Struthio camelus: one gene and its partners. The protein of the gene in region 1 purifies or fractionates together with the protein of each later gene. This does not show direct contact. Links are inferred from orthologs where the notes say so. Each region holds a gene or a part of one and is shown in the gene's direction. Other genes may lie near its edges. The genes, in order: DDX23, TSSC4, PRPF6 and SNRNP40.

The links.
Region 2: the proteins of DDX23 (region 1) and TSSC4 purify together in Homo sapiens (affinity purification with mass spectrometry; 3 studies listed by BioGRID and IntAct, with this or other methods). This does not show direct contact. The link is inferred for Struthio camelus from reciprocal best matches to the Homo sapiens genes DDX23 and TSSC4.
Region 3: the proteins of DDX23 (region 1) and PRPF6 purify together in Homo sapiens (affinity purification with mass spectrometry; 3 studies listed by BioGRID and IntAct, counting the BioPlex papers as one, with this or other methods). This does not show direct contact. The link is inferred for Struthio camelus from reciprocal best matches to the Homo sapiens genes DDX23 and PRPF6.
Region 4: the proteins of DDX23 (region 1) and SNRNP40 purify together in Homo sapiens (affinity purification with mass spectrometry; 3 studies listed by BioGRID and IntAct, counting the BioPlex papers as one, with this or other methods). This does not show direct contact. The link is inferred for Struthio camelus from reciprocal best matches to the Homo sapiens genes DDX23 and SNRNP40.

Annotation. Positions count from the first base shown.
Region 1 is NC_090969.1:1,012,237-1,020,083, forward strand, and holds the start of DDX23 (probable ATP-dependent RNA helicase DDX23), read left to right. Parts: upstream 1-4,831; 5' UTR 4,832-4,989; intron 4,990-5,316; coding exon 5,317-5,534; intron 5,535-5,675; coding exon 5,676-5,774; intron 5,775-6,021; coding exon 6,022-6,118; intron 6,119-6,238; coding exon 6,239-6,304; intron 6,305-6,558; coding exon 6,559-6,697; intron 6,698-6,809; coding exon 6,810-6,943; intron 6,944-7,068; coding exon 7,069-7,181; intron 7,182-7,260; coding exon 7,261-7,404; intron 7,405-7,644; coding exon 7,645-7,847. Other genes in the region: RND1 (rho-related GTP-binding protein Rho6), read left to right, coding at 172-291, 375-462, 2,081-2,190, 2,318-2,452, 2,555-2,800. UniProt on the Homo sapiens protein: Involved in pre-mRNA splicing and its phosphorylated form (by SRPK2) is required for spliceosomal B complex formation.
Region 2 is NC_090946.1:18,608,415-18,615,844, forward strand, and holds the start of TSSC4 (U5 small nuclear ribonucleoprotein TSSC4), read left to right. Parts: upstream 1-4,423; 5' UTR 4,424-4,547; intron 4,548-4,650; 5' UTR 4,651-4,747; exon of another isoform or gene 4,748-4,772; intron 4,773-5,579; 5' UTR 5,580-5,652; intron 5,653-6,549; 5' UTR 6,550-6,637; coding exon 6,638-7,430. UniProt on the Homo sapiens protein: Protein associated with the U5 snRNP, during its maturation and its post-splicing recycling and which is required for spliceosomal tri-snRNP complex assembly in the nucleus.
Region 3 is NC_090959.1:17,594,646-17,601,463, reverse strand, and holds the start of PRPF6 (pre-mRNA-processing factor 6), read left to right. Parts: upstream 1-3,805; 5' UTR 3,806-3,929; coding exon 3,930-4,000; intron 4,001-5,016; coding exon 5,017-5,185; intron 5,186-5,896; coding exon 5,897-6,015; intron 6,016-6,697; coding exon 6,698-6,776; intron 6,777-6,818. UniProt on the Homo sapiens protein: Involved in pre-mRNA splicing as component of the U4/U6-U5 tri-snRNP complex, one of the building blocks of the spliceosome.
Region 4 is NC_090964.1:4,647,234-4,654,503, forward strand, and holds the start of SNRNP40 (U5 small nuclear ribonucleoprotein 40 kDa protein), read left to right. Parts: upstream 1-4,267; 5' UTR 4,268-4,276; coding exon 4,277-4,486; intron 4,487-4,646; coding exon 4,647-4,776; intron 4,777-5,402; coding exon 5,403-5,496; intron 5,497-6,272; coding exon 6,273-6,438; intron 6,439-7,022; coding exon 7,023-7,145; intron 7,146-7,270. Other genes in the region: ZCCHC17 (zinc finger CCHC domain-containing protein 17), read right to left, coding at 1,189-1,289, 2,957-3,014, 3,409-3,453. UniProt on the Homo sapiens protein: Required for pre-mRNA splicing as component of the activated spliceosome. Component of the U5 small nuclear ribonucleoprotein (snRNP) complex and the U4/U6-U5 tri-snRNP complex, building blocks of the spliceosome.

The DNA of each region.
Region 1 (7,847 bases):
CGCCCCTTCGCCATTGGCCGCGGCGCCGAGCGCCCCCGCCGCGATTGGTGGGCGGGCGCCGCCGTGGGCGGGGCGTGGCGGCGGCGGCGCTATATAAGGGCGCTGCGGCGCGGGCGCGCAGGGCTGGCGGGTGGGCGCCGGGCGGGGGAGGGTTGCGCTCGGGCCGCCGCCATGAGGGAGCGGAGGCCGCCGCCGCCCGCCCCGGCCCGCTGCAAGCTGGTGCTGGTGGGCGACGTGCAGTGCGGCAAGACGGCCATGCTCCAGGTGCTGGCCAAGGACTGCTATCCCGAGGTGAGGCGCGCCGCGGCCGCCGCCGGTAGCGGGGCTCGGGCCGGCGGCGGCACCGGGCGCTGACGCTGTCGGTGCCGTTGCAGACGTACGTGCCCACCGTGTTTGAGAACTACACGGCGTGCCTGGCCAGCGAGGAGCAGCGCGTGGAGCTGAGCCTCTGGGACACCTCCGGTACCGGGGGGAGCATGCATGGGGAATGAGGGGGGATGCCCCTCCGGTACCGGGGGGAGCATGCATGGGGAATGAGGGGGGATGCCCCTCCGGTACCGGGGGGAGCATGCATGGGGAATGAGGGGGGATGCCCCTCCGGTACCGGGGGGAGCATGCATGGGGAATGAGGGGGGATGCCCCTCCGGTACCGGGGGGAGCATGCATGGGGAATGAGGGGGGATGCCCCTCCGGTACCGGGGGGAGCATGCATGGGGAATGAGGGGGGATGCCCCTCCGGTACCGGGGGGAGCATGCATGGGGAATGAGGGGGGATGCCCCTCCGGTACCGGGGGGAGCATGCATGGGGAATGAGGGGGGATGCCCCTCCGGTACCGGGGGGAGCATGCATGGGGAATGAGGGGGGATGCCCCTCCGGTACCGGGGTGGGGGGGTTGCACCTCCGGTACTGGGAAGGAATGCATGGGAAAGGGGGGTGCCTGTCTGGTACTGGGGGAAGTGGGGACATTCCCGGGGAGGAGTTGGGGGGGAGAATGCCCTTCCGGTACCGAGAGGTGGGGGCATGCAGCGGGGGGGGTGCGGCATGCTCTGGGGGAGCTGCGCGCTCAGTATTGCGGGAGGCTGGTATCGGGGACCTGTGGGGGAGCATGGTGGAGCCCTGCAATGGGGCACTGCAGTGGTGGGGGGGGTGTGATGCCTGGGCTATGGGGGGGCTGCAGCACGGGGGGAGCCTGCAGTGGGGCACGGTGGGGGGCTCTGACCTGGTTTGAGGGGGCTGCAGTGGGGGTGCATAGCCGGGGCTGGCTCAGGGTGGGGGCCTGGATCCTTGAGGCTGGGGAGTGGGGGGGGCCTGGTCCCCTGGGTGCAGGAGGGGACAGGGCTCTGTGGGGTGGGGGTGATGCATTGGGGGCAGGTATGGGCTCAGCACCCCTTTTTTGGGCAGGAGCCCAGCACCAGTGCAAGCCCCTCTGTGTTCCTAGCCCCCCTTAGGGCTGCATGGGGGCCTCTGCAAATGGAGGAGTCCTGCCATTGCCCCATCCTGGGGGGGGGGGGGGGGGGGGCTGGGGCAGCCTTGCCCCGCTGCTGCAGTGTCCCCCCCATCGGCAGGGGGTCCCCGCCACCTGCGGTCCCCATGTTGCCATGGCGATGTGCTGGCGCAGCCTCTTTGCTATTCCGCGCACGGAGCGTCTGGGCTGCAAAACCCCTCGGAGGACACGCTGGGGTCGGGGGGGGCAGCATGGAGGGGGTGCCCTGCCTCACCCCCATGCCTGCAGGGGGGGCTCCCTCGCAGTGTCCCTCTGCGGTGCTGGTGATGGGGCATGCCCCATGGGGGTGGCCTGGTGCCCTGCCACCCCCTCACCGGGTGCCCCGGCTGGTCCCTGACACCCCTGTTGCTGGCAGGGCTCCCTTCTTGTGGGGGAGGGTTTGCGGTTATATAAACTCCCCAGGAACCATTTCCTGCTGCCTCATTAGTGAAGATGGGTGTGTTAACGAGGCAAGGCAGTGTTTTAGGGTGCTCTGGAGCTGCTCCCCCTCCTTTGCAAGCTCCCTGCTGCCTGGGGGGCAGCAGCCCCTCGGCCATTGCGGGGTGCAGCGTGGTGACTCCCCCCCCTTCTCCCAGGCTCTCCCTACTATGACAACGTGCGTCCCCTCTGCTACAGCGATTCGGATGCCGTGCTGCTCTGCTTCGACATCAGCCGCCCTGAGACCCTGGACAGCGCATCCAAGAAGGTGAGGGGTGCTCAGCCCCATCCCTCCGTGCACGGTCGTGGGGACCATTTTCCCAGGAAAGCCCCTGCATTGGGATCGGGTTTGGGGACCCCAGGGTGCCCAGCTGACTGTGGGTTTGTGTGTGCAGTGGAAGACGGAGATCCTGGACTACTGCCCCAACACCCGGGTGCTGCTCATCGGCTGCAAGACGGACCTGCGGACGGACCTGAGCACCCTCATGGAGCTCTCCCATCAGAAGCAGGCGCCCATCTCCTACGAGCAGGTGCTGGGGATGGGCTGGGACCCAAAATCAGGGTGCTGAGGGGGCCAGTTTGGGGGCAGCAAGTCAGTTACTGCCTCAGTCTGACGTGGCTTTGGGTCACAGGGCTGCGCTGCGGCCAAGCAGCTGGGAGCAGAGAGCTACCTGGAGTGCTCGGCCTTCACGTCGGAGAAGAGCGTGCACAGCATCTTCCGGACCGTGTCCGGCATCTGCCTCAGCAGACCCAGCCCGCAGCTGCCCAAGAGCCCCGCGCGCAGCCTCTCCAAGCGGCTCCTGCACCTGCCCAGCCGCTCCGAGCTCATCTCCTCCGCCTTCAAGAAGGAGAAGGCAAAAAGCTGCTCCGTCATGTGAAGGGGGGAGACCAGGACAGCATGGCCCTGGCCCCCCGAGGCCCCCGCACCGGGGCAGTGGGGGCTGCGGCGTGGTGCCCCGCGGGGAGGATGCCGGCGGCCCCCCACATCACACCGCTTCCCCCCAGACAGCGCGCACGTCCTGGCCCCTGGGGCTGGGGGGCAGCCCCTGCTGTGATGCCATGGGGTGGGGGGACCTGGGGGACCCCCGGCGCAGAGGGGACCTTGCTCAGTGGCTGCTCCTGAGCCCCCGGAGCTGGCAGGACTCATCCACGGACTCATCCTTTTTCTTTGAATGCCCAGTTGGTGTCTGGCTCTGCCCCATCCCTCATCTGCTGCTTGGCCCTGGCCCTGGAGCCCCCCGAGGGGCTCTGTGGGGCTCCGGGCAGGGGGCGACTTGTTTTATAGACTGTCTCTTGGGGTGACTCTGTTCAATGTTCAGTGTTATTAAAAAAGCTTATTTATTATTGGAAATATAACAACTATCCACCGTGCAGTGGGTGCCTGGTCGTGTGTTGGGTGAGGGGCTGCGTCGGGGGGATTTGGGGCCAGGCCTGGGTGGGGGTCTGTCCTCCATCTGTGTCACAACTTCTGCCTGTGCCAGCAGGGAGGATGACAGTGATACTTGTATCTGGCCACCCATAGGTGATGAGGTGGGGTGGCCCAGGCAGCCTGGGGTGGGGGGGAGAGGGGCAGGGGTTGATGCACCCAGGCTGTGCCGGGTGCGGTGGACTTTGGGCACCCTGTAAGGGCTCCCTGGGTGCCTCCTGCTCTCCAGAGAGCAGCTCGAGGGGCAGTGGTGGCTGAGGTCCTCAGCCCCCTGCCAGGCCTGTGCTGGGGCAGGAGGGCAGTTGCTTTGGGGGGGGGGAGGGGAGAGGGGGCTGTGGTGCATGTGGTGGTGCTGCCCAAGGCTGTGGTGTGCGCAGGGTGCTGCTGGGGTGCGCGGAGGGTTATTGTACAGGATACTGTATGGGGCTGCAGTGCAGATGTGGTTATCGCAGGGGGCCATGGAGTGGGGGGGTTGTTGTAGGGTTTGTTGAAGGGGGCTACAGTGCATGTGGGGTTATTGCAAGGGGTGTTGCAGGAGGACTCAGTTTATATGGGGTTATTGCAGGGGGTCATGGTGCATGGGAGCTATTGCAGGGGGGCATGGTCCATGTGGAGTTATTGTAGGGGGCGCAGTGTATGTGGGGCTATTGCAGGGGTTACTGCAGCAGGCTGCGGTGCTTGTGGGGCTACTGCAGGGGTTATTGAAGGGGGCTATTGCAGGGGGCGCAGTGCATGTGGGGTTATTGCAGCAGTTATTGCTGGGGACAGGGATGCACGTGGGGCTATTGCAGGAGTTATTGCAGAGGGCCATGACATATCTGGGGCTATTGCAGGGGGCGCAGTGCATGTGGGGTTACTGCAGGGGACCAGGATGCTTGTGGGGCTATTGCAGGGACCCCAGTGCATGTGGGGCTATTGCAGGGGGCGCAGTGCATGCGGGGCTATTGCTGGGGGCACAGTGCATGAGGGGTTATTGCAGGGACCCCAGTGCATGTGGGGCTATTGCTGGGACCCCAGTGCATGAGGGGTTATTGCAGGGACCCCAGTGCATGTGGGGCTATTGCAGGGGGTGCAGTGCATGTGGGGCTATTGCAGGGACCCCAGTGCATGAGGGGTTATTGCAGGGACCCCAGTGCATGTGGGGCTATTGCTGGGACCCCAGTGCATGTGGGGTTACTGCAGGGGACCAGGATGCTTGTGGGGCTATTGCTGGGACCCAGTGCATGTGGGGCTATTGCTGGGACCCCAGGGCATGTGGGGTTACTGCAGGGGACCAGGATGCTTGTGGGGCTATTGCTGGGACCCAGTGCATGTGGGGCTATTGCTGGGACCCCAGGGCATGTGGGGTTATTGCAGGGGCCCGGGCGGCCGTGGCCCCCCAGCGGCGGCGGCGGCGGCGCCGGCACTGCGGCTGGCGGCGCGGAGGGAGCCGCGGGGCGCGGTGGCGCTGCGGCCGCGCGGAGGGAGCCGCGGGGCGGGGCGGGGCGGGGCGGGGGCCGCGCCGCGCCGCGCCGCGGGGGCTGCCGGGAGTTGTAGTCGCGGCGCCGGGACCGTTCCCAGCGTGCCCCGCGGTGCCCGCGGACATGGCGGCGGCGATGGCGATGGCGGCGCGGCGGCGTTGAGGCCTGGGCCTGCGCGGCGGTGAGCCCGGGCGCGGGGGGGCTTCGACCGGACGCTTTGGCAGGGGGAGGCGCGGCCGTTCCTGGCGTAGGGGGCGGAGCGGGGGGGGAGAGGCGCCCCCCGGCGCTCCCCGGCGCCCCCCGGTGCGGTGGAGGCTCCCTGGGCCGTGAGGCCCCGGTACCGCGCTCGCTGCCCCCGCGGGGCGCGGAGCCACCGGACCCTGCCGCGCTCGGGGCTGGAGGGCCCTGCCGGTCCCCCCGTGTGGGGTCCCTGGGACGCCGGTCACCGGTCTCCGGTTCTCAGTACCGGCTCGGTCCCGGCTGCCGCTCTGACCCGCCGCCCTCGTAGATGGCGGGAGAACTGGCCGACAAGAAGGATCGGGACGCGTCTCCCGCCAAGGAGGAGAGGAAACGTTCCCGCTCCCCGGACCGGGACCGCGACCGGGACCGCGACCGGGACCGCGACCGCAAGAGCTCCCCTTCCAAGGACAGGAAGCGGCACCGCTCCCGGGACCGCAGACGGGGCAGCCGCTCGCGCACCCGCTCCCGCTCCAAGTCGGCGGACAGGTGAGTTCAGAGGGTGACGGCCCAGCCCAGGCACCGCTTGGCTTTTAGGAGAGAGCTCTGTCGCTCTCGGGTGCGTGTAAAAGCCGTCCAAAAGGACCGCGGGGCTGGGGCTGAGCCGTGCGCGACTGCCCTGCTCCACAGGGATCGCCGGCACAAAGACCGCGACCGGGACAGGAGCAAGAAGGACCGCGACCGGGACAAAGATGGGCACCGGCGGGATAAGGACAGGAAGCGATCTAGGTGAGCGCTTGCTCTTCTCTCAACGTCTCTGTCTATGTGTCTGCGCTCTCGTCTCCCGCCCAGCTTTTCTGTGAGCGCGTGTAGGGGACCGAGCCTGGAAACGCAGCTGTTGCTGGGGTGGAGCACAGTGACGCTTCGGGAGCGTGTGGCTCTGTAGGAATCGTTATTCTGGGCCCTAGCGAGAGAAGGGACTGGGTGACGATGGGATTACGCTCGGTGCCTGATTCTCCTTTGTTTTGCTCGGAAGTTTGTCCCCAAGCAGGGGCAAGGATTCGAAGTCCCGGAAGGATCGGGACTCACGGAAGGTGGAGGAGGAAGATGAGAACGCGCTAAAGAAGGAGAAGGTAAACGGGGGGAGGCTGGGCTGGGAACAGTTCCTGGGGGGCTGCTACTGCCTCTGGCAGGGCAGGGGATGCCCACTGGGAGCATTCGGGGCTGCTAACGGTCCGGCCCTACGTTTGCAGGCTCAGCCTCTGTCCCTGGAGGAGCTACTGGCCAAGAAGAAGGCTGAAGAAGAGGCAGAAGCCAAGGTAAGAGCAGGGACCCTTTCCCTGCTATGGGGGTCTCCCTTCTCCCTGCTGCAAGGGGCCTGAGCGGCCCCCACATGGGAACGAGTGTGAGGCCTCCCTCCCTGCGTGGCCTCAGCACCCCTTGTCCACAGCAGCTGTAACATGGGGATATTCCTGTCCTGCTGGACGCTGCTCCCTGCCTGGGGCAGCCCCGGGGTCGGTGTGGCTAGGGGGTTGCAGCCAGCTGTGGTACAAACTTGCCTCTCTTGTCCCAGCCCAAATTCCTGTCCAAAGCGGAGCGGGAGGCCGAGGCCTTGCGGCGGCGGCAGCAGGAGGTAGAGGAACGGCAGCGGCTGCTGGAGGAGGAGAGGAAGAAGCGGAAGCAGTTCCAGGAGATGGGGAGGAAGATGCTGGGTAAGGTGTTGCCCCTACTGCGGCCTGCCTGGCTGCGAGGGGCTGGAGCAGACCCCCCTCCCAGCCCTGCTGGGGAGGGCTCGGCTCTGATACCCTTTCCCGACTTCCCCAGAAGACCCCCAGGAGCGTGAGCGCAGGGAGCGCCGTGAGCGCATGGAGCGGGAAACCAATGGCACGGAGGACGAGGAAGGCAGGCAGAAGATCCGGGAGGAGAAAGACAAGAGCAAAGAGCTCCACGCCATCAAGGTGCCAGTGGCTGCAGACCCCCTGGACTGGGGCAGGGGGGTGCCCTGGCCGCCTGGGTCCCCTCTCTGCCGGCCGGGGAGGGGAGCCTGGGCTGGGGGAAGGGGCTGACGCTCTGCCGCCTGCAGGAGCGGTACCTGGGAGGAGTGAAAAAGCGAAGGCGCACCCGGCACCTGAACGACCGCAAGTTTGTCTTTGAGTGGGACGCGTCAGAGGACACGTCCATCGACTACAACCCCCTGTGAGTGCTGGGGGCACCCCTGGGGCTGGGAGCATGGGGCAGCCCCAGCCCTGCCCCTGACGCTCCCCTCCCGCCATAGGTACAAGGAGCGGCACCAGGTGCAGCTGCTGGGCCGGGGCTTCATCGCGGGAATTGACCTGAAACAGCAGAAACGGGAGCAGTCACGTTTCTACGGGGACCTGATGGAGAAGAGGCGGACACTGGAGGAGAAGGAGCAGGAGGAGTGAGCACGCTTGGGGAGGAGCTGGGAGCGTGCTGAGGGGTGGCTGGGGTCCTGTCTGGCTCTACCTGTCCGTGTGGGGACAGAATGAGGGGCTCTGGACTACAGCATGTCCCTCTGTTAGGTGGAGGGGTAAATCCAGTGTCCCCAGAGGTGTGGGGTGGGCTGGGGACAGGTGGGGACAGCTCTGACCCCTCCTGGAGGCCAGGGGGAGAGCACTGTCCCCTGCCTCCCCTCACCCAGGGCACGGCTGCGGAAGTTGCGGAAGAAGGAGGCCAAGCAGCGCTGGGACGACCGGCACTGGTCCCAGAAGAAGCTGGACGAGATGACGGACAGGGACTGGCGCATTTTCCGCGAGGACTACAGCATCACCACCAAGGGAGGCAAGATCCCCAACCCCATCCGCTCCTGGAAGGACTCCTCCCTGCCCCCCCACATCCTGGAAG
Region 2 (7,430 bases), on another chromosome or scaffold:
TCAGATTACCTGGCACAGGGCATACCCTAAGCAGGAGGCTCCATAGGCAAAAGTGTACTATTTCAATGTAAATGCTTTGGCCAGCCTCTGGCACTTGGTGCGTATGAAGTAGGCAGCTGGATGCTTTCACTTCAGAGCCCAGGGAGCTTGAGCAAAAAGAAAACAGCACGCAGCCAACTAAGCATGGTGTGTATATGTTTTCACATTTGCAGATGCGTTACAGAGAGTATCTTTGCAGCTGGGCATGAGAATGTGGATTGACTGGTGTTTCCCCACTAGTTTTAGATGAGCCAATGAGCCAGCTCAAATGCCAGTGGTTGCAAGTAATATTTCTAATTAAAAGCTAATTACTTTTTTTTTTTTTAAGTATTTCTTGGCCCTGTGTTTCTAGGGCACTAACTCATGTTAGAACACAGCTTTGCTGAGTACCAGTGAGGTGTTGGTGTTAGGTAGGCAAGACAGCTTGTGTATAACACTGTGCCTGCAGGCTGGGAGTAAGCTGGGGAGTTTCCCTCTGGCAAGGTTTAGAGGTGTTAAACACAAATCTCTGTGTTGACTATAAAGTCACATCAGTTAATGAAGTGTCTACAGGTTATGTTCTAACAGGAGGTGTGGGGAGTTTTAGGGGGTTTGTGTTTTTTTTTTTTTTTAATATTAACTTCAAGGCACTCGACTAGTTCAAACGCTCTCTTTCAGCCCTGCTCAACTGCAGTATTAAACACACTGGGGCCAATGATAGGAAAGAAAAAAAAAAGAGGTGAGAATTAGGAGAAAGCTTTTTAGTAAAAATATGCTGTAGCTAAATCAAAATGAACAGAGGGTCCCCCAACTATTTGGGGTTTTGTTTTGTTGTTTTTTTAAATTTGAAACAACAATTGCACAGCACATTAATTTGGTCCTAAACAATTTCAGCTCCTGCTCCCCCTCAGATGTCGTGTGTGGCATCTCCTACACATACATGGTCTCTAACAGAGCAAGGGATGCAGGTTCTCAGCACAGGTCCTCTCCAGGTCAAGCAATAACATTGGTATTTGAAAGAACAGGTTGATGGAAACTGGGGTTTGGAGCTTCATGGCCTGCCTGTATTAAGACTAACGTCACAGTAACTACTTTGATAATAGTTACCTTAGGGGAAAAAAAGCACCAACATGGATAAACAGCACTGAAATAAATCAAAACTGCTTGCAGGTGAACCAGGACCAAATAAAAATACTAAGCAAAACTAGTGAGCAAAACTCTGTGTAGAAGAGAGTGTCAAACATTGAGCTCCTGGAAACTCACCCAACAGGATTTCATGGCCACTTGTAGACTTTCCTTCCTGCAAATGGGAGAGGGCAAATCTGATTATTTCCTTCAGCCACTACCTTTACCCCATTCTGCCCTGGTGCAGCTGCATCCTCCCAGCAGAGGACAATATGGTCTTTATTACTGTGCTATTACTGATTTTGGCTATAGGAAAATACTCCTTTCCCTCCCTACTTCCTTTCAGGACCTACAGCATCAGCTAAGCATAGCCAGGTCAGACTCACTTCCATCCTCACTCCAGATGCATAACGAGGTGAAAAAAAATGCATCTGCTTGCTCTCTCTGGCTTGCAGGATCTCAGTGGCTCACTTGTGTCCGACAGATACCGTGCCACTATTGCTTCCTAGTCCCCCACTGCAGAGACCTATGGCAACCGTTGCAGTCCCACCATAAGGAGCTTCCCCCATTTCTGAGGAATTGCCCCTTTCCAATAGCCATGAGGACAGGGGCAGGAACTGCCTGCCAGCGTCTACCCTGGCCTCTGACAGCAGAAGCAGCAGGAACCTGCCGGCTGAGTAGCAGAACCTGTTACCAGATGGGCACCAACTGACAGATGCGTTTGCAAGAAAGGAGCATGAAGCTCCCACCAGCAGGGCTGTGATGTGTATGCATTCGCACAGGCCACCCCCGCATGCAGGGAGGTGCTGGCTTCCTGCAGGCGCACAGGGCCACCTCCTCCAAGAAGCCCACGCCGTGGTGGAGCTGGCTCCTTGGAGCTTGCACACAGAACACGCCGCCCTCATTTGGATGATTTCCCGCACCACAGTTAGAGCCGCGATCCAGCCCCTCATCCCTCTTCAAGCCACCTTAGTTCATATTGGCTAGCGGAAAACGCTTTACCATCTGTTCATCTTCAGGGCCTGACTCATTATTTTTATTTCAGCTGTCACCAAGCAATAGCAAAAAAATCCCAACACACCAGTATATCCACCACTACAAACTGCCTTGTCCTCAGTCACCAGAAAAAAGTAGCTCATCCCCGGATTGCTGCAGTGTGTGGTACTGATCTTCTGCAAAAAGGCAGGAAGGAGAAAATGGGTACAGCCAGCTTCTGAAGGTGACTTTGGCCATTAACAGACATAGCTTCCAGGTGAAAACTGAGCAGTGACTAAGCCTAGCAATGCCAGTGGCCTCCACAAATCTAGGAATGGGGCTTGTCCCTGAAGGCACCCGGATTCGTGGATGATGGAGAGACTGGAGGTGGCGTAGCCCTTTTCTGCCCTCCTGAGCTCCTAACTAACGTAGCATTACAACCAGGTTTTAAACCATTTCATCCATTTGCACCAGACCTTCTTTGTCTCCACCCTTACAAAAAAAAGGGATATGCCACTGCCTACTCCACATCCTTTCCTTGCCTCCTCCTTTTTACTCTCCGAGATTCACTCCTGGTACGTCCCTGACATGCTACACAGTGTTACACAGACTTTACCTGTGTTTTAGTCTTATTTCCCCTTTCAGATGGTTTCCTTGCCTGTTTACTACCCTCCCCATACCTGCTCCTGCTGATGTACCAGAGAACTCTTCCGCTCTTCCTCCCTCCAGCCAGGAACCCATTTTAATGGCTGTGATCACACTATTTTCAAAAAGGATCACCAAATGGGGAAACACCTCTAGAACTGTTGATTTAAAACTGCAGCACAGCTCCGGCCAGACGAAAGACATTTTGTGCTAACCTTGTTACTGCTGCCAAACGTATTCCAAACACAGCTCTCATCTCATAAATTACTCATCTCATAAATTACTGTAGTGAGCAACACTCCAGAAGGCAAAAGTGTATATATATTTTAAAACTCACAATACAAATGGCTGCAGCTTATATTACAGATGACTCACAGCGAGGCCCCTCTTGAAGGGCTTCTGTGAAGTCTTTTAGGACACAGACACAAACTTACCTTTTGGCAAAGAAACCGAGATGAAACAGGGTTTGGATGCTGTGGAAAAAAAGGTGCCACCAAAATCCAAAATGGTAGGACTCCACCAACAGTTCTGTCTTTTGTTGCAAAACGATGATATAAATCATCTACAAGGCCTGGACTAAGTCCTATGTTTCTCTTAATCCTTCACTGCTGGGCAACCCGATTAAGTAAAGGCCTGACCTTTAGCAGCTCAGACCCTTTGTAGGCATTAATTTAATTCCATTTAATGACGAAGCCCCCACAATCATGCGACGCAGTAAGGGTGCGTGACCCTGCGGAAGGGTGGAGGGAAAAAGGAAAATCCTGCAAACTTCTGTACCGCATGCTGCGTGTATGGCACTCAAAGAACAAACCTTGCTCTTTTTTTTCCTGAACACACTGTAAATGAGCTAAATATTGAAGTCACTTGAGAAGTCTATTTTCACTGGAAATTTAAACTTTTCACTGAACGAGGGGAAAAAAAAAATCAAGCACCTTTGGCCAAAACCAATAAAACATTTTTAGAAAGAATTCCACTTTTCCAAGCATACACATTATGTTCTTCTGGGACAGAAAATGGAAACTTTCTTTTTTTGGCTGGACACTGGTTTTATGCCTCTAGTGACTTGGAAGTCTTCTGGTTGAAAAATAAATACATACAAATTAAAAAAAAAAACCAAAAACAAAACAAACACCAGACACTTCCTCTGACATTTTCACTGTGGCCAAACGCCTACTTTTCCGATGAGAAAAAAGGCTCTGCTGGACGTGTTTCTGCCAGGCGGCTGCGGGGATGCTCGGGAGGCGGCGGCGGTGCCCTCCGAGGGGCCGGCTCGCCGCGGGGCCGTTAGGCGGCGAGCTCGACGCTTGCCGGGCAGGCGGGGGCGGCCGGGACCCCGCTCCGGCCCCGCACACCGCGACGGCGGGGCCGGCCCTGCCATTGCTGCCCGGGCCGCAGGGCACTGCGCCAGCAGCGCGCCCGCCTCCCCACAGCCTGCAAAATGGCGGCGGAGAGCAGCGGGCGCCGCTCGCGGTGCACCCCGGGAGCCGTAGTCCCGCCGCGCCGCGTCCCGCGGAGGGCCCCAGCTCGCAAAATGTCCCCCACCTGGGGGCAAGCGGGCGAACTACAGCTCCCAGCATGCAAAGGGGCGAGGGGCGGGTGAGGCCTGGGTGGTGCCTTCCCGCCTTCCCCCCCCCCGCTCCGCTTTGCCTGCTGGGGGTTGTAGTCCCAGCGCCGCCCGCCGCCGCGCCGCCTCACGCGGCAGGGACTCGGTGTCCCAGCGTGCGCCGCGCGGGCAGGACGCGGGCGGTTGCTGCGAGGAGCCGTTGGGGTGGCGGCGGGTTGTGGTAGGGGGCTGCGGGCCCGGCGGGAGAGGCAACGGCGAAGGGCGGGGAGGGCTGCCGGCCACGGCGTGGGGGTGATGGCGTGTGTGTTCTGCCTTGGCTGCAGGGGGAGAGGCCTGCGGCCGCATGGAGGAGCGTGAGGGGGCCCTTCCCGGCCAGGGAGCCGCCGGGCTGCGGCGGGCTGACGCCGCCCTCGCCGACCGGTGGGTAGCTGACCTCGGCTAGGAGGTACCGTGACTCCCCCGACGCGCACGGTGCCGCCTGCAAGCAGTCGTTTCAGTCGCTCCTGCCTTTTCCTGGGCTCTCCTGGGTGGCAGCCGCTTCTCTCACGTGCTACGGCAGCTGAACCGGAAGGGCGTAAGGGGTTTCAGCCGGCCGTTGGCCATGTAGCAGTGGCAGCAGGGGCCGTGCTTTTAAAAGCAGTCATCCGCTCGCCTTGCCCAAGGCAGCTGGGCTGCGTGTGCAACGCACCGCTCGGGCTGCTGCCTTCTTGAGAAGTTGCTCTGTGTTTTAACGCCTGGTAGAAATCTGGCCCAGATTGTGAATACGGCCTTGCTTTGAAAACACAGGCCTGGGCTAGCCTGGGTCTCTGCTGTGTGGGCCTGGGCTAGCCTTGGTCTCTCTCTTTTTTCTTTTTTTTTTCTTTTTGCAGCGTTTAAGTGCTCGTAACGCATAAGCGTCCATTTGATATTTTTCTTGGCCGTATGTAACATAGTTCACCTCTTGACGGTTTACTGCTCGTGCAAATGACAGTGTTATTTTTTTTAAAAGGCTGTCTCCCGTTCTACAGACTCTTAAGGCGGGCAGCGTGAGCGTGGAGACTGAGTAAATGTAGCGGTGCCAGCCTTATTAGGGAGCGCGTTGTTCTTTTGCCAAGAATCCGGGAATATCTGCAGACTTGTATATTAGCGTGAGCTTATGTCAGATTTAGAAATCAGTTCTGCAGTTTTGGATGATTCAGAGAGAAGGAATTATTTTTAAAGCTCATGCTAAAACTACATTTCCAATATTGTAATGGAAATGTTTGTTTTCTAGGGTGGAAGTGCTTGTATCGTTGATGGCTTTAACTGACCCTCAGGAGGGGAAGCTGACTCAGTCTCAAGAGAAAGTGAGTGACTAACAGACTTTCTATGTCTGTTTACTGCATTGTTTGAAAATAACCCATAATTATGTAGTTGAGCTTATTCTAGTAATATACTAGAACTATTTCCTTATCTCATGTTTTTGTGAGCTGAACTGAGGTGCATATTCACCAGCTCCGCTTCTTATTGCCCAGCAAGTGGCAGCGTGAACAGCAACCATCTCCGGTTATGGAGAGTTCCCTTCTGTCGGAAGACAGAGCGAATCTGGTATTCCAGCCTGTACTGGAACTCAGGCTTCGGTTTCACAGTTTGTTTTTACTGAGTGAAGGGCCAGCTCTTGTTGAGCCTCAGTTGCAGGCTCCCCTTGCTTCCACTGTGTTAGCACAAGCAAGGCATGTGTGATTAGTTTTCCTAATCCAATTAGATTAAGTCCTTGAGCTGGCTCATCACATGATCCCTGAAACCTAGTAATGACGTGACAGAGCTTAAAGTCAGGGAAGGAATGAAGCCTGTGCTTTATATCAGTAAAGAAAAAATGAAGCTATAGCCGTGCTGTTTTATAAACTTCTCTCTCACTGACCTTGATCAGTGAGAGTGTTCTTTGTAACAGACAGTATAATGAATACACTGCTTATTGGCACAAGGCGTAGTGCTAGTGCAGCAAAGGAAAATAGCAGCCAAAGTAAGTGAGAGATTAGGGTATATTTCTGTTGGATTTATACAGTACGGTAAACATAGGGTGTAGTCTGGACAGGTCATTGCTGGAAGTAGCGTATAAGACAGTCATGTGGATTTGCTCAAAAACTTGATGCTGATAACCTGTGCCATGTAAACAATGGTTACAGCAGGACCGATTATTAAGTTAAGAGTGATACGTATGGTACTTGTATCACAGTTGAATTTTTGAACTCCTTGCATTCTAGGCGTTACATTCGTTGGGTATTTGGAAAACCATATTTGCTGGTGTTCCTGGACCTACATCATAGACATCAGTGGAGTGACAGCCCAAAGATGGGAGATCAAGATGCAGGTGAACCCTTTCTGGGTATAGTGGCTGGTGGTACCACAGACTACGAAGGAGTTCTGCCCTCTGACACAGTATCACTCAGCGATTCTGATTCCGATGACTTTGGGTTAGCGGATGAAGCTGAAGTTGATACAATATCTCCTGAGGAGCCATCTGTAGATGATGGGGGTTACCAATCAGGGGAGACCTCCGACTCTTCAAACAGCCGTTGTAAATCTCCCATCCAGCCATTCCACTTGAGAGGCATGAGTTCTACATTCTCTCTCCGTAGCCAGAGCATTTTTGATTGCTTGGAAGAGGCAGCCAAACTGTCTGTGCCCTCATTGCCTGAAGATAATGTTGTTGATGGTAGGTTTAAACGTCCTTTGCCTCCAACTACTGTTTCAAGTAACATGGTTCCAGAAAGCCCTGGAAAACAAACCAAACCAGTGCAGGCTCCCAAAATTTCTGCTGCAGTTCCTGACTATGTGGCACACCCAGAGCGCTGGACCAAGTATAGCCTAGATGGCGTTTCAGAGTCTAATGACAAGACTAACAGGGCAGTGGCCATGGAGTTTCTAGAGGGTTTGAAGAAAAGAGGAGAGGAACAAAGCTCAGCTGCCCACGATAGCTACACCCCATACTTCAACCAGGACCCCTCCAGCTGTGGTGCTGGAAGGATTATCTTCACCAAACCAACAAAAAGGGGCGTTGATGGACTGGAAAAGAAAGTGTCAGCAGGGGAGGATCATAAGAAACACACAAAAACAGATCTGAGAGGAAAATCTCCTAAGAAGA
Region 3 (6,818 bases), on another chromosome or scaffold:
TCCCCGAGACGTGAGATGGCTTCGGCGGAGGCGTCCGGAGGCGCTGGCTCTCGCCGCGTGCCGGCGCGGGCTTGGCGCTCGGCTGCCGCTGGCACCGGTGAGCTGCGCAAAGGCTCCCGCTGCCGCGGGGCACCAGGCGCCCGCGTGGCGCATGGCAGCGAGCAGATGCTGCGACCGCGGCCTCCGGGCCCCTCTGGAGCCGTTGTGTGGGACTAATTAAAATTTCAGGAAGTATATTTACCTAATGCAGAGCTGATTTTGCTAAGTAGGACATCCTGTCTTCAGAGGATTTCACGGCACAGGGCGATAATCAAGTGCGAATAGGCTCCAAAAGTGTTAATGTAGTAGCTGAGCAGACGCAGATTAAAAACAAGTCCCTGTTTAGTCTTTTCTCTCACTTTCGCACCTGAAATCCAAGTAATCATCCGATTTGGGAGTGCAAAGCAGCAACACCTCAATGCTGCAAGCAGCACGCAAACCGCCGGCGCAGGTCTGCCCAGGGCGGCCGTGGCCGGACTCGCACCGGATGGCAGGGAAGGAGCCGGCGCTGCTGCACGCGCGAGCTCCCCGCCGCCCCGCCGTCCTCGGGGCGATGCCCTGCACACGTCAGCTCCCTGCCATCCTCGGGGCGATGCCCTGCATCCCGCCGTCCTCGGGGCGATGCCCTGCATCCTGAAATCCTCGGGGCGATGCCCTCCACACACCAGCTCCCCGCCGTCCTTGGGGCGATGCCCCCTGCATGCACCAGCTCCCCGCCGTCCTCGGGGTGACGCCCTGCATCCCACCGTCCTTGGGGCGATGCCCTGCGCACGCCAGCTGCATGATCCATTCTTGCAATAATCTCCTGTGTTATCTATTCTCGCTGCATTACGTCATATTTAAAAACATTAATTTCCAGTGCATGGACAGCCCCGCGTTTCTGCCTGGCGCAGGGCCGCAGCGCGGCCAGCACTCCTACACCGGCTTCGCCGGCTCGCTCTCCCGTTGTCCTGGCAGAGGACGGTGACTCCGGCACCTCTTCCCTACAGTTCGTGCTGCAGGTAGCAGCCGGGGAGCGCGCTCTCCGAGAGCGAAGCGCAGCGCCGGCGCGGCTCCTCGCTGCTGCCGTTGCCTCTGCTCCTTAGCGGTTTTATTGCCCGTGCACAGAGACGCAGGCGCGAGAGGCAAGAGCCGCTATGCTCGCGCGCGCGCCGCGGAGCAGCTTGGTTTTCTTGTAGAGTTACGGCCGAACTGCAAAGGCCGAGCGCGCAGCACGGGCGGTGCATTATATTTGCACATTTAGCAGGTGCAGTTGCCCCTTCGCCCCTCAGATTTTGCCACTGAAAACTAGGACCAGTCGCTGGTTTTGCTCCCGCGGCCGCTCCACGCCAGGGATGCTCCGCGCCAGGCTGCGGCTCTGCGCGACGCTCACCCGCGCGTCAACGCTGGGTACCCGCAGAGTTGACTAAAAAGCATTTACGAGGCATTTTACCGAGCCTATAAATTATGCCGGGCGTTCTCGCGGGTGGGAGCGCGACTGCGCCGCGACGGCTGGCGGCGGCCGGCGCGCGGCATCCTTCCCGCGCAGCACGGGAAAGGATGTGGCTGTGGTGTGAACAGAGCAAACGTACAGCACCGAGACCAGCCCCGTGCTCCAGGGCAGCGGCGCATCCCCCAGCGCCACCCTGACCGTTTGCCAAAAGCGATGCTCATTATTATTATTATTATTATTATTATTATTTTCCGCCAGCCAACCCCCAAAATAGCTCGCTGTGAAGTGGCTGGGGGTTGGGTGCGCGGTTAGCGTGCAGAATGGGGCTGTTCGTCTTCTCCGCAGCTGCTTGGCGCTTCCAAGAGGCTGGTGGGAGCTGCCGCGGGGCGCGGGGGCGGCGCGGGCCGGGGCGGCCGGCGGGGGCCAGCGCCCCACCGGGGGGGCCCCTAGACCCCGGAGCGGGCGCTAATGCAGCCGTGAACCTGCCGTGCCCGGAGCACTTTGCAAACGGGCGCTAATTAATCCGGCACGGGCAAAACCCTGCGAGACCCGGCCGGCCCCCGAGGGCTCCCGCGGCCCTCGGAGCCGGTTTCGTCCCTCGGGTGGGATAAGCGGCCGCGGCGGTGGCTGGCGCTTGGTGACTTCCCGGCGTTCATTGGGAGCTGACGTCCTTTTTTTTTCAAGGGATTGACTCGATAAGCCAAACTCCGCGTTGTCGGAGGGAAAAGGGCCGTGCCGGAGCGCGGGAAGCCACGCTGACACCCCGCTCCCGACACGGCGCCTGCTTTGGGGGCGTTCGTGGGAGCTAGGCGTTAGACCAGGGGCCAGGCTGGCCCTGGGCCGCTGGGACGTGTCCTGAGTGCGACAGTGCTCTGCAGCCCCATCTCCTCGGTCGCTTTGGGGCGGCGGGTTGAATCGCACCCCTAAAGCCAACAGGCTCCCTTGGCGCCAGCTGCTCTCCGGCCCCCCCCAGTCCCCCGGAGGAACGTCTCATCTCAGTCGCCCCGAGCCCGAATCCGCCTCCGACTCTGGCTGGAGCAGGGCCCGAGCTCAGGGAGAGCCTGATTAAACCAGGGGACGCATAGCTTTAAATTAAGCCTGCGCCATCTGTTCTGCCTGTTTAATTGCAAATGCAAAAGAGGAAGAAGCTAGTTTGTAATTAATCAGCAAAAAAGATCCAAGTTATTTAATGCGGGCGCATGCCTTTTGTTCGGCGTGCTGTGAATCTACGAGGATTTTTGCATTTATTAAGGCAAACGAGGAGGAAGCGTGTGGGCGCGGGGCGGCGCAGCGGGTGCCACGGGGTGCGTCCGGGATAGAGCGGGCCGAGCGCTGTGCTGCATTTGCGGGTCCGGCTGCACCCCTGTGGCTATAGGTGTCCATATATGTGCCCACACTAGAGACATGCATGGGAGTATGTTCATTTAGGTGTGGACACATGCGTGTGTTTGTCGGTGGATGTGTGCAAAGTGTATGTAATGCAGAAGGGATGTGTGGCATTCCGTGTGCGTGCGGGGACGCAACTCCTCACAGGCAAGGACGCGTGTGCAGGAAAGCTGGGTTGGAACCTATGCAGGCGGCGCGTGAGGCTTTAACACGTATTTGTGCTTGTTAGCAGGCATACCTGTGGTGGAAAGGTGTGGTCTACACACGGAGCAAGAGCCACGTGTGTGCACGCAGGTTTGTGCGCACGTGCATACAGATGTATAGGTGCAGGTGTGTGCAGGTGCACAGGTGTGCATGCACATGCACGCAGGTGTGCAGCTTTACGCACGTGCAGGTGTGCATGCGCGTGTGTGATGTGTACACGTGTACCTGCATGGTGTGCAGGCACACGTGTGTGCAGGGGTGGGTGGGTGCATGCGTGCGTGCCATGCGTGCAGAGCGGTGTGCGTGCAGGCATGCACGTTATGCACGGAGGTGGGTGCGCGGGTGCATGCACAGCTGTGTGCGAGGGTGTGCCCATGTGCAGGTGCACGGGCACCCGTGCACGCATGCAGAGGTTTGTGCACCGTGTGCAGGTGCGCCGTGCACGTCCGCGCGTGCACGGGTGCAGCTGTGCGTGCCCGCTCCTGCGTGCGCGCGCGCGCCTGCCCGGGGCGCGCGCACCGGGGTGTTACCCACGTGCGGGCATGCAACGCCTGCGCGCCCGGGGGTGGGGAGGTGGGGGGTGGGGGCCGGCAGGGGTGCGCATGCGCGCCGGGCTCTGGCGGGACCCCCGGGGCGCCAGGGGGCGCGGGGGGCGCGAGGGACGCTCCCTCCCCCTCCTCCTCCCCCCCCTCCCTCCCCGGCCGCGGAGCGGAAGTGCCGGGTCGCGCTTCCGGCCGCGCGGGCCGCCTGGGTAGCCCCGCCCCGCGGCGCGGCCTGTGATGGCGGCCGCTTCCGCCGCCGCTTCCGCCGCCGCCTCCCGAGCGGCCCCGCCTCCGCCGCTCGCCTCGCCGCCGCCATCGCCGCCGCCATGAACAAGAAAAAGAAGCCGTTTCTGGGCATGCCCGCGCCCCTGGGCTATGTACCGGGGCTGGGCCGCGGGTGAGCCCCCTCCCCCCCACCCCCGGCCCGCCTTCCCCCTCCGCGGCCTTCGTCGCCCGGCCCGGCCCGGCCTGGTCCCCCTGGCCCCCCCGCGGGCCCGCAGCCCCTTCCCCCAACTCCAGGCTGAGCCCGGTTTTACGCCCCGCCGCCCATCGCCGTCCCCTCGGGGCAGGCCGTGCCCAGCGGCCCCTGCTCCGCTTTTTAAAGTTTTATTCATTCTGGGCGGTTTGCGTCTGCCTTTTCGATAGGCTGTTCTTACGTAAACGCCGACTTCGGGGATGAGTTCGAGGGTTTTTTGAGCGTTGTCCGTTAGGAGGGGTGTTGCCGCTGACCCGGGGTTTGTGCGCTCGTGTCGTAATTGCGTGTGCGCGTGGGGGGCTTCGGTAGAAGTCATTAAAATCAGGGCACGCTTGTGCTGGCAGTTATAGGGTAAAACAACAGGCAGGTCCTGGTGATGCATGGGCAGCAGGGGTTTGCCCTGTGGTGGTGGGGAGCTATGTTGTTCTTGGGTGACAGCGGATTTGCATCCTGGTTTTCTCTGTCATGATTTGTTCGTGTCTTTGCTTTGGGTTGAGGCATCCTTGTGGACAGGGGCATGTAGTCCTGTAGGCTGGGCCCTGGAAAGCATTGACTAGCTGAATATGGGGCTTCTGAAGAGCCCCCGTGTCTGCCTCTGCCCTGATTGTATGCACCTTACAACCTGCAGGATGTAGATAATCTTTTTTGCTGCATGCCATTGATGGATAGACTTTAAAAGCGAATGCATCTCTGGGTACAAGGTGATGGATGGTGAGGGGGTGAGCAGGACAACTTGATTCTAGTATCATTATAAATAAAGTTATACCTATAAAAGGACAATTGTTCCCAAAGGGTTTCATGAACAGTAGGGATGGGTAATGCCATCCCTGTGAATGAAGTGTTTTTTTAAATTTTCTAGTTTTAAGTAATTTTAACAGACTCTGTGTAGTGATTGCACTGCTGCGTTGTAAATAGCTGCTATTGGTCTGTCAACATAGAGCCACAGGTTTCACCACCCGGTCTGATATCGGCCCAGCACGTGATGCCAATGACCCGGTGGATGATCGTCATGCTCCGCCAGGGAAAAGAACGGTTGGGGATCAAATGAAGAAGAATCAGACGGCTGATGATGATGACGAAGATCTGAATGACACCAATTATGATGAGGTGATGTGTTAATCATCCTTCAGGTGTTTTTTCCCTAGTGGAAGAGGAGCCCATTAGCTTCCTGCTCTCTTGTCGTAAAACCCTCAGTCAGCTAACAGCACTTCCTCTTTTTTTGTTTTCTTTCTTTCTTTTTTTTTTTATTGGGACCCTGTTATACATAATAGCATAGTGCTTTCAGATCTCTGTTTTGGTGTTCATCCATATGTGTGATTTAATTATATATACAGAGCCCTGAGAGTCTTAGGAAGAAATCCATAGGTAAAATATTAGTTTAAGTGCTTCATGGGACGCATCTTTTATTCGGCTGCAAAAATGAAATCTAAGCTTTTGACATAGTTCTGTTTTTACGCGGTCTGTGTAGTCTCTTGTGTTTAAATCACGCTTTGGTTAGTTAACTATTGTGTTACTCTTTTTGTTTGATTTCAATAGTAACACTTTTTGGGTAATGGAACAAAACGGCTTTTCTCTACTGGGGAGCTTGTTTATTGCTTAATAGAAAGTTTTGCTGTTGAAATGGTGTGGGAGAATCGGCTCTTGCGGTAGAAGAAAGTTGTTTGTATTTAGGGATGTTTTAGTGTGATGCAGTGTTACTAAAAATAGTTTGCTCATGCGTTTTCTTTATCCTGCATGACTGTTGGCTGTACTAGGTACATAAAGAGTTCTAAACTGCAGGTTCAGCTTTTTTTGAACTGCTATTTATTTTATTCTTAGTTCAATGGGTATGCTGGGAGCCTGTTCTCAAGTGGTCCCTATGAAAAAGACGATGAGGAAGCAGATGCTATTTATGCAGCTTTGGATAAAAGGATGGATGAACGGAGAAAAGAAAGAAGGTAGGCTTAGTTACAATGCTGGCAAGGAGTGTTTTTGAGTTGGTCTGCGTTTTCTATTTAGTCTGTATTTCAGAGTTTTCTTCTGTTTTTCAACTCAAATTTTGTCCTTGTCTACTGAATATATTTTCAGAAGCAGATGCTGGTTTTGTTTGTGTTAATGCTGTACGTTAGATACTGTTGCTTTAAGAGCTATGGATACTTGGCACAATTTAACCTGAGCGTATCTCTGTGCTTGTTGCCCATTTTCTTCAGTGGTAGATTTGGTTGAATTGCTTCATTGTAATTCCTTAGGAAGATTTAGGGAGATGCTGAGCTAATGTTTCTGACATATTACCTACTGTACGATACACTGGCAATTGTTACAGAAGTCATCTAATGCAGATGTCTTGTAAACCCGTGAGTGTCACTTAATTTTTTTTAAGTTTATTGCCTGGTCTACAGGTAAGTGGAGGTTAAAGAGTGAAGTTGATTTGGTTGCAAATGTCTAATTTGACACTGTAACATTGTCTTAATTGATGAGCTATTTAATTTGCTGTTATAGACGATGATAGTCTAAACTTGGAATAATAATGTTTTTTGTGCCTTACCTCTGATCAAACACATTTTTCTGTAATAACAATGCTTTAGATAAAGACTTGCTCAGTGTTACTTTGAGTATAACTTCAGTACCCCTTTTCCTAAGGGAACAACGAGAGAAAGAGGAGATAGAAAAATACCGTATGGAACGACCCAAAATTCAGCAGCAGTTCTCAGACTTGAAAGTAAGGAGAGAAAGCTTTCTTAAATATGACTTTTGTCTTTAT
Region 4 (7,270 bases), on another chromosome or scaffold:
TACAGATCCATTCAGATTAACATTCTGCATTTAACATGAGCGAACCAAAGCGCTGTAGAAGAAAGGGTATGTTTAGGAACTTTGCTATAATTCTCAATAATTAATCAGTAATCCACCCACAAGGGAGTTTCTGCTGGACCTTCAGCAGATTTGCACCCTGAAAAATAAGACTCTATACCTGCTCTCACATTTCTATCTTCTTATGAGGTTAAAAACTTTCTAAGTATCTGTATTAGGGGCTTATTCTTTTCTGAATCCTAATAAGCCCTTGATTGCCACATTATCCCTTTAGAAGCAAGAGCAAAGGTCGTAACTTTTAAAAGTCTTTTTACAACCTTCTATAAGTACACACCAAAAGGTTCTAAATCTGTTTATCTTCCACAAATGGAAGGCATTGCTTTGTATGTCAACCCTATTGTTATCGTTCAAAAAATCTGAAAGATGTAAACCAATTATGACAAAAACCTCTCATCTCTAGAAGGCAGCAAGTTTCAAAATACATGTATTTGCCAAAAGAATTATAAAAAACCACACACACAAAAAAACACCTTCCCACCTTTCTTTCCTAAAAAATATAGTCCACTTTCACTGTTTCAATGGCTCACCAAAGTAAGAGTCTTTGTTCCAAGGAATCTTTAAATATAGAAGATAGGCCTAGCATCACTTCTTTTGTGCACCAAAAAAGCAATATAATAAAGGGTAGAAAATAAGACACACCCCTCCAAAAAAAAAAAAAAAAATCTGTGTTTTCCCTTGGGCAAAATTCACTGTCAACTATCTTTCCTTGAAAACAAAAAACACTCAGCTTCTTCTAATAACAGACCTGTCTCTCACAACTGTTAAAAGACTGTGCTTATATTGGCTCTCATCTTGGAATCCTCTCAAATTGCTCATTTGGCCACCAATCACACAGTTATGGGGGTGCAAGCTGCAAACAGGTAGAGAGGAAAAGAAAGGAAAGCGCTTTGCTGCTTTTAAGTTTTGATTGCATTGCAGCAAGTCACAGAAGGTCAGCTTCCAATGTCTCACCTGACAGTGAGCAGAAATCAACTGTTTATCAGATATATCATGTTTTGTTTAACAAAGCGACCAGAACACCCTGCTTCTGCATATCAAAAAGTTCTTAGTTTACTCTTTTTGTAATATAATTTATTTATACAGTGTTAAAGAAACAAGAATTAACATTACCTCTTTTCCAATAAGTTTCACCCACACTTTGTCTCCAACATCTACTATCTCTGAGGGCTTATCCACACGGCAGGATGACATGTGAGTCTTATGAACAAGGCCTGGTCATATTTTTGTAAAAAAAAAAAAAGGGAGGAAAAAAAAAAAAAGTCTCTACTGACTGTTAGTTTTGTCCTCTAGGAGTCAGAGGGCACCTATTAAGAGGTTTCCCTACGCAAAACTAAGCATCTAGTTTCCCAAACACATTACGCAGATGAGAATCAGTTAGTTTAATCAATCAAGTTTGTTTGCAAACATATAAAAGCTCATCAATATTTGCTCCAAATTTACTCCATGCTGTTAGGAAGCATGAGTGACACACAGCAAGACAATAGGCGTCAAAAGAGATAGAGGAAGCGATGAGAAAAGCACTGCTCTCCCCAAAGGTGTAGAGCTGCATATGCCCCCTTCTGACCACCATCACCACAGAAACAATCCTCAAGTTTTTGTATGAAACAAATGCAATCAAAACTAAGGGATCTGATCAACCAACAGGGAGACAGTATTCTCATAGCCTCCAGGCTGGATTCATCAGTCCAAGTTTTCATGTGTGTCCAGACACCTCCGGGGCTGGATGATTTAGCACTATGTGCAATGAGCTGGCGCCTCATTGATAACTGAGACATTACCGATAACTGAGACACTAACTCCAGAAAAAGAAAACGGACCTTCCGTATTTAAGATCTTAATTTACAGCTTGTCAGAGAAGCAGGCCCCAAAGCAGCGTCTTTGTACTCAAAATACCAGGCGTCCACATGGAAAAAAAGAAAAAAAAAACTTTTTATTTTAAGCAGGCATTAACGCCTCTCTATTCCTGTCCGTCCTCTGAAACCAACGTAAGCACTAGAGAACAAAGAACATTTCATGCATCAGCAGCACAATACTTTGCTGGCAATGTCAAAACCATTAAATACCCAGGCTGACCTGATTTTCTGTTGTGCTTGCAAGGTCATACAGCCAGATTTTTTTTTTTTTTTAAAACTTACACAAATAATAAATGTGGGCTACAGGATTATACATGGAAGGATAAGTATGGAAACACACCTTCATGTCTAGGCTTATATTTCAGGACATGTTTGCATCTCAAAGAGACATCCTTCCACTAGTCACACTTCCATGCAAAAATTTTTATTAGAGCTGGCGCTAAAGTAAGTGTGCAATTCAAGATGAGAGTGAAGAAGTGGTTATTCGTATGCATACAAACAATTGACAGAACATCCAGCTTAAATTGCTTCTTTTGTGTGACTAGTTTATTTTACTCTGCAGTTTTCCCACAACTGTAAACAAAACTAAGTCAGCTTTTCCGGTCTATTTTTTATTTGAAGTCCACTTCAGTCATCTTTATTTGACTTGCAAACTGGTCATGAAAGAAATAAGTTGTCAAGCTAAATTTCTTGTGGAATTTTCTATAGTTTGTCCACCACCTGAAAACGATTCTCTAAGATGCGGTGAAGTTACCAAAAAAAAAAAAACCCACTTCCTCTGAAATCCTCTGAGCCTTTTCTGTATAACTGCATATGTAGCACTACCTTAAGTAATTTGTGAGAACCTGTTTTTTCTTTTTTTTAAGTTCAACACTTTTTCTGAGCTAGCAGATAAATCAGATAGAGAAAAAGAAGGAGAAATTCTAGTATTCTCCTAAAAATTGCCAAATCTTTTATTCTGGGGATGATTGCAGAGCCTAACAAGTCAACATGAAAATAAGCCTAAACAAATAAGAGAAACAAACCTTGTTTCCTGCAGCCTGGGATTTTTATAAATGCCCCATATTCTGTTACAGTAGCAACCTGTGAAGAAAATCAATACAATATCTAAACAAAAGAGACTTGGTAAAAATCCTGTTTTGAAACCACCAGTTAAAACATGCACAAAAAAGGCTAAATGGTTCTCATATCTTAGTTCAGTTTTAGACTTCAAGGCTGGGGAGAGACAACACTCCTCGATAACTCTAGAACAAGCGTGGCCAGCCAACTACTCCTCTGTTAATAATACATATGCATATATGTGTGTGTGTGTGTGTGTGTGTGTGTGAACACACACATATACGTATACTTACATAAACGAGCAACGTAGCTGACAGTTACCCAAACCACCGCTGAACTAACCAGTCATTTAAACTAAAGCAAACAACCCGCACTTCACGACACCTCGCAGTATCGTGGCCGCAGCCCCACTGCACACCTCTCCTTGGAAGATAGCGTAGAGCTCAGGCAGCGCCTCCATCATCTCAGACCTCACAGGACGTGCTCGGGAGCGTCTCTGGGAGCAACCGACAACGTTCCTCCAAAACCTTCTGGGCGACTCCAGTTGAACTCATTGCACGTCACTGCGCTGCGGAGGAACCACGCTCGTAACCGGAGTTCAGAGAGATGCCTTGGAAAAATATATTTAATCAGCACTTGAGAACACCTCCTGCAACCAGCTCAGTGACATTCGACTAATATGACAAATTCTTTGGTTCATTTTGATTTAGGCTATGATGCGACACTAGCTCCTCGAGCTGGGTGACACCAGCTGCGGCCGCCTTCGGGCCGCTCTCCCAGGCGGCACCGGGCCCAGCCGGGCCTGATCCGGACGGAGGGTGGGGAAGCCCAACCTCGCCGCAATGCTCCGAGACTTCCCCTGCCAGCGCGACACCAGCCCCGCCGAGGCTGAGACCGAGCGAGCGCCCGACCCGTCGCCGCCACCGTTACTTACCCCCACCAGGCGCCACCGCCATTTTGCCCCCTCCCGCTTCCCCCCTCGCTCTGAGGCAAAGCGGCGCTCCACCAACCGTCGCGCGCGGTGATCGCAGGTGACAGCCGGTGAGCCAATCGTCTTTACCTATATTGCCTCTCTCCCTCCATCCCGCCTCCTCCGGCGCCAGCGGCCAATCCGCGCGCAGAGCGCCCGGCCAGGCCGCCTCTGCTCTCCTTTCGCCACCCGCGCGCCGGAAGTGAGGTACGAAGCGAGCCGAGCCGGGAGCTCTCCGCCAATCAGCGCGGGAAGACTTGGCGGGGCCGCCCAATGGGGGCGAGGGGGCGGGACGGGCGGGCGCGCGGCGGCGGCGATGATCGAGCAGCACAAGCGGAAGGTCCCGGGCGGCGGCCCCGGCCCGGGCCCCGGCCCCGGCCCGGCTCCGGGCGCCGCCCCCGGCCCCGACCTCCCGCTCGTGCCCACGGCGGCCAAGCGGCCCCGCCACGACCTCCCGGGAGCGCCGGGCGGCGGCGGCGGCGGCGGGGGGCAGCAGCAGCCGCCGCCGGGGGCCCTGCTGCAGGCGGTACGGGCGGGCTGAGGGGAAATGGTGGAGGGGCCGGGGCCCGGAGGGGAAATGGCGGAGGGGGAAGGCGCTGGCCGTGCCCCGGGGGGGTGCCCCGTCCCGCCGCCACGGGGCCGCGGTGCTTCGCCCCTCAGCCGACTCACTCGTTGCCTCCCCGCAGGGCCCGCCGCGATCCTCCTCCCTGCAGGCCCCCATCATGCTGCTGTCGGGGCACGAAGGCGAGGTGTACTGTTGCAAGTTCCACCCCAACGGCAACACGCTCGCCTCTGCCGGCTTCGACAGGCTCATCCGTGAGTACCAGCGGTGCTGGCGGCGCCGGGCTCCGCTGCCCCAGCGAGCGCGGAGCCGGGCCGGGGCTCGCCTGGCTTCGGGCAGCCGCCCCGTGCCTCTTCCCTTAGACTACCGTTAGTTTCATTTCAAAAATCTGCTTGCTGAGTCCATGTAAAGCGCGTCGGCGCTTTGCCAGGCGGTGAACAGGAAACGTCAGGCTCCTCGGACAGGTTGCTGTCCAAGTAGTGTGGCTTTTTCCTTGGCTAGGGTCAGTAATGTGCCTTGCTTGTCCTAATTCTGTATTCGCTCATCCCTTGCGTAGGTTACTATGCATTTGTGTCTGCACCAATCTTTGGAAATACATTTTTTAAGGCTTTTGGCTTGCTAGAATGGGTTGGAGTGGCTACCTGTTTTTCATAATAAATTCACCTGTATCTGAAATCGTAAATCACCTTAAAAGAGCTGTGTGCTTTCTGGGGCTCACCTAGCCCACTTGGTACTCTTTTATTGCTATATGTCCTAGATGTGAAGAGATGTTGGCTACTGTAGGTGGTTCGTTTTAATGAATTTCGGGAGAATCAAGCTATCCACAGCGAGTGCGTGTTTACATCGTTCATTTACTAATCTCTCTCTTTCTGTCCTTTAGTGCTGTGGAACGTCTATGGGGACTGTGATAATTATGCCACCCTGAAGGGACACAGTGGAGCGGTTATGGAGTTGCACTATAACACAGATGGCAGGTAAATGTCGTGAGGTCGGTTTTCTGCCTCACTTCTTGCTCTTTCTGAACAAAGTCTACAGACAGTTTTGGGAGAGTGGCAGCATCTGTCATGCACCTCAGCCACACTCATTTAGGTGGCTCGTGAGGGGCGCTTGGCAGTTTTCAGGGCAACGTATTTGCTGCTGGCCAGCCAGACTCCTTTAGAGCTCCTCCTGTTCATTGCAGCTGCTTAGTTGACCTTCATTAATGGTACTGAAGAGGAGCACTTGTACTGTGGCTTTCCCAGGAAGGGAGTGTGCCTGCTTGAGATTAAGCAAAAGATATGGAGCTACTTGTGACCTAGGAGTGCCCTTGATTTCAATCTTGAGGAACACGTGAAAGTCTGAGCTGGTCTTGAGCGAGATGCTGGTTGGTTGGGGAGTGAAAGAAAACAAGTGAGATATTTCTTAATTTGGAAGATTGTTCCGCTGTTACATCTTAACCAGGAGTGCTACAAAGAATTCTTTCTCCTGTGTTCTCATCCTAGATAGTGTTTGAGCAGGTGGAAAACCAATACGTACTGATCAAAAAATGGGTTTAGATGGGAGCATCTCCACTGTACTTGTTCCACGGTCATTCAGTCTGCGCTGACCAGAATTGTCTTTGCACCAGCCTTTGCATATTGGGCGTAGTTCTTCTCAATGACATGTTTGTGTTTAACGTTTCGAGCTTTGCTCTCGGTACTTGGGAGTAACAAAAGTAGAATGGGAGAAATGCCTCTGAAATGGAGAACTTCACAGCTGTTCTTCTCCGCAGCATGCTCTTCTCAGCATCCACAGACAAAACAGTGGCGGTGTGGGATAGTGAGACGGGAGAGAGAGTAAAGAGACTGAAGGGCCATACGTCATTCGTTAACTCCTGTTACCCAGCAAGGCGTGGACCCCAACTTGTCTGTACGGGTAGTGATGATGGGACAGTGAAGGTCAGTGCGTTGTATAAGGAGATAGTCCTTTTTTGTTTTTACTGGTTCAGTGAGTTAAATTCAGCCTTTCTTTACTGTCTCATAATTTCATTATCTAACAACTTCAATAAAACTTGATACTTCTTTTCCTTCCACGATTCTTTGAGTATGGGTTCAGGAGATGCAGTTGGGATACCATATTGGAGCAGCCTAAACAAACCATTGTCTCATTAAAGGAGGACTGTCTTCTTTCTGTGTAACAGTGTGCTTGTTTGTGATGCATTGTAATCGATATAGATTTAATGCAAAATAAATCAAGTTTTACTGCAGTGTAGAACAGCATAAACAAAACATGAGGAAGGCAAACAGGTACTGAAATCTTTTACTCCAGCTCCTTCTTGCCCCGTCCCCTATTTTCAGAAATCGAAAAGTCCTGTGTTCCTGACCATAGCATGTCTCTGCTATTATTTTTGTAGCTAACTCTTGAGATCTAAAAAAGTGAGTTTCAGTAGAGCAGTCAGAGACCCGGCAACGTGTCTGCAACTTTCTATGATTTTATTGTTAAATGCCTCTCTGTAACTTTTAAAATTGCCATATCTTTTCAGCTGTGGGATATCAGGAAAAAAGCTGCTGTCCAAACATTTCAGAACACTTACCAAGTCTTGGCTGTGACTTTCAATGACACCAGTGATCAAATCATATCGGGGGGCATTGACAATGATATTAAGGTATGATGATTTCTATCTTGTGCATCTGTTCTGACTTTACACACCTTTTCCGTCCCATCAGATTTTGATTGTAGCGAAATGCAAGATATAGCAATGGTCGAGGGAAAACGTGGAAGCCTGTTGGT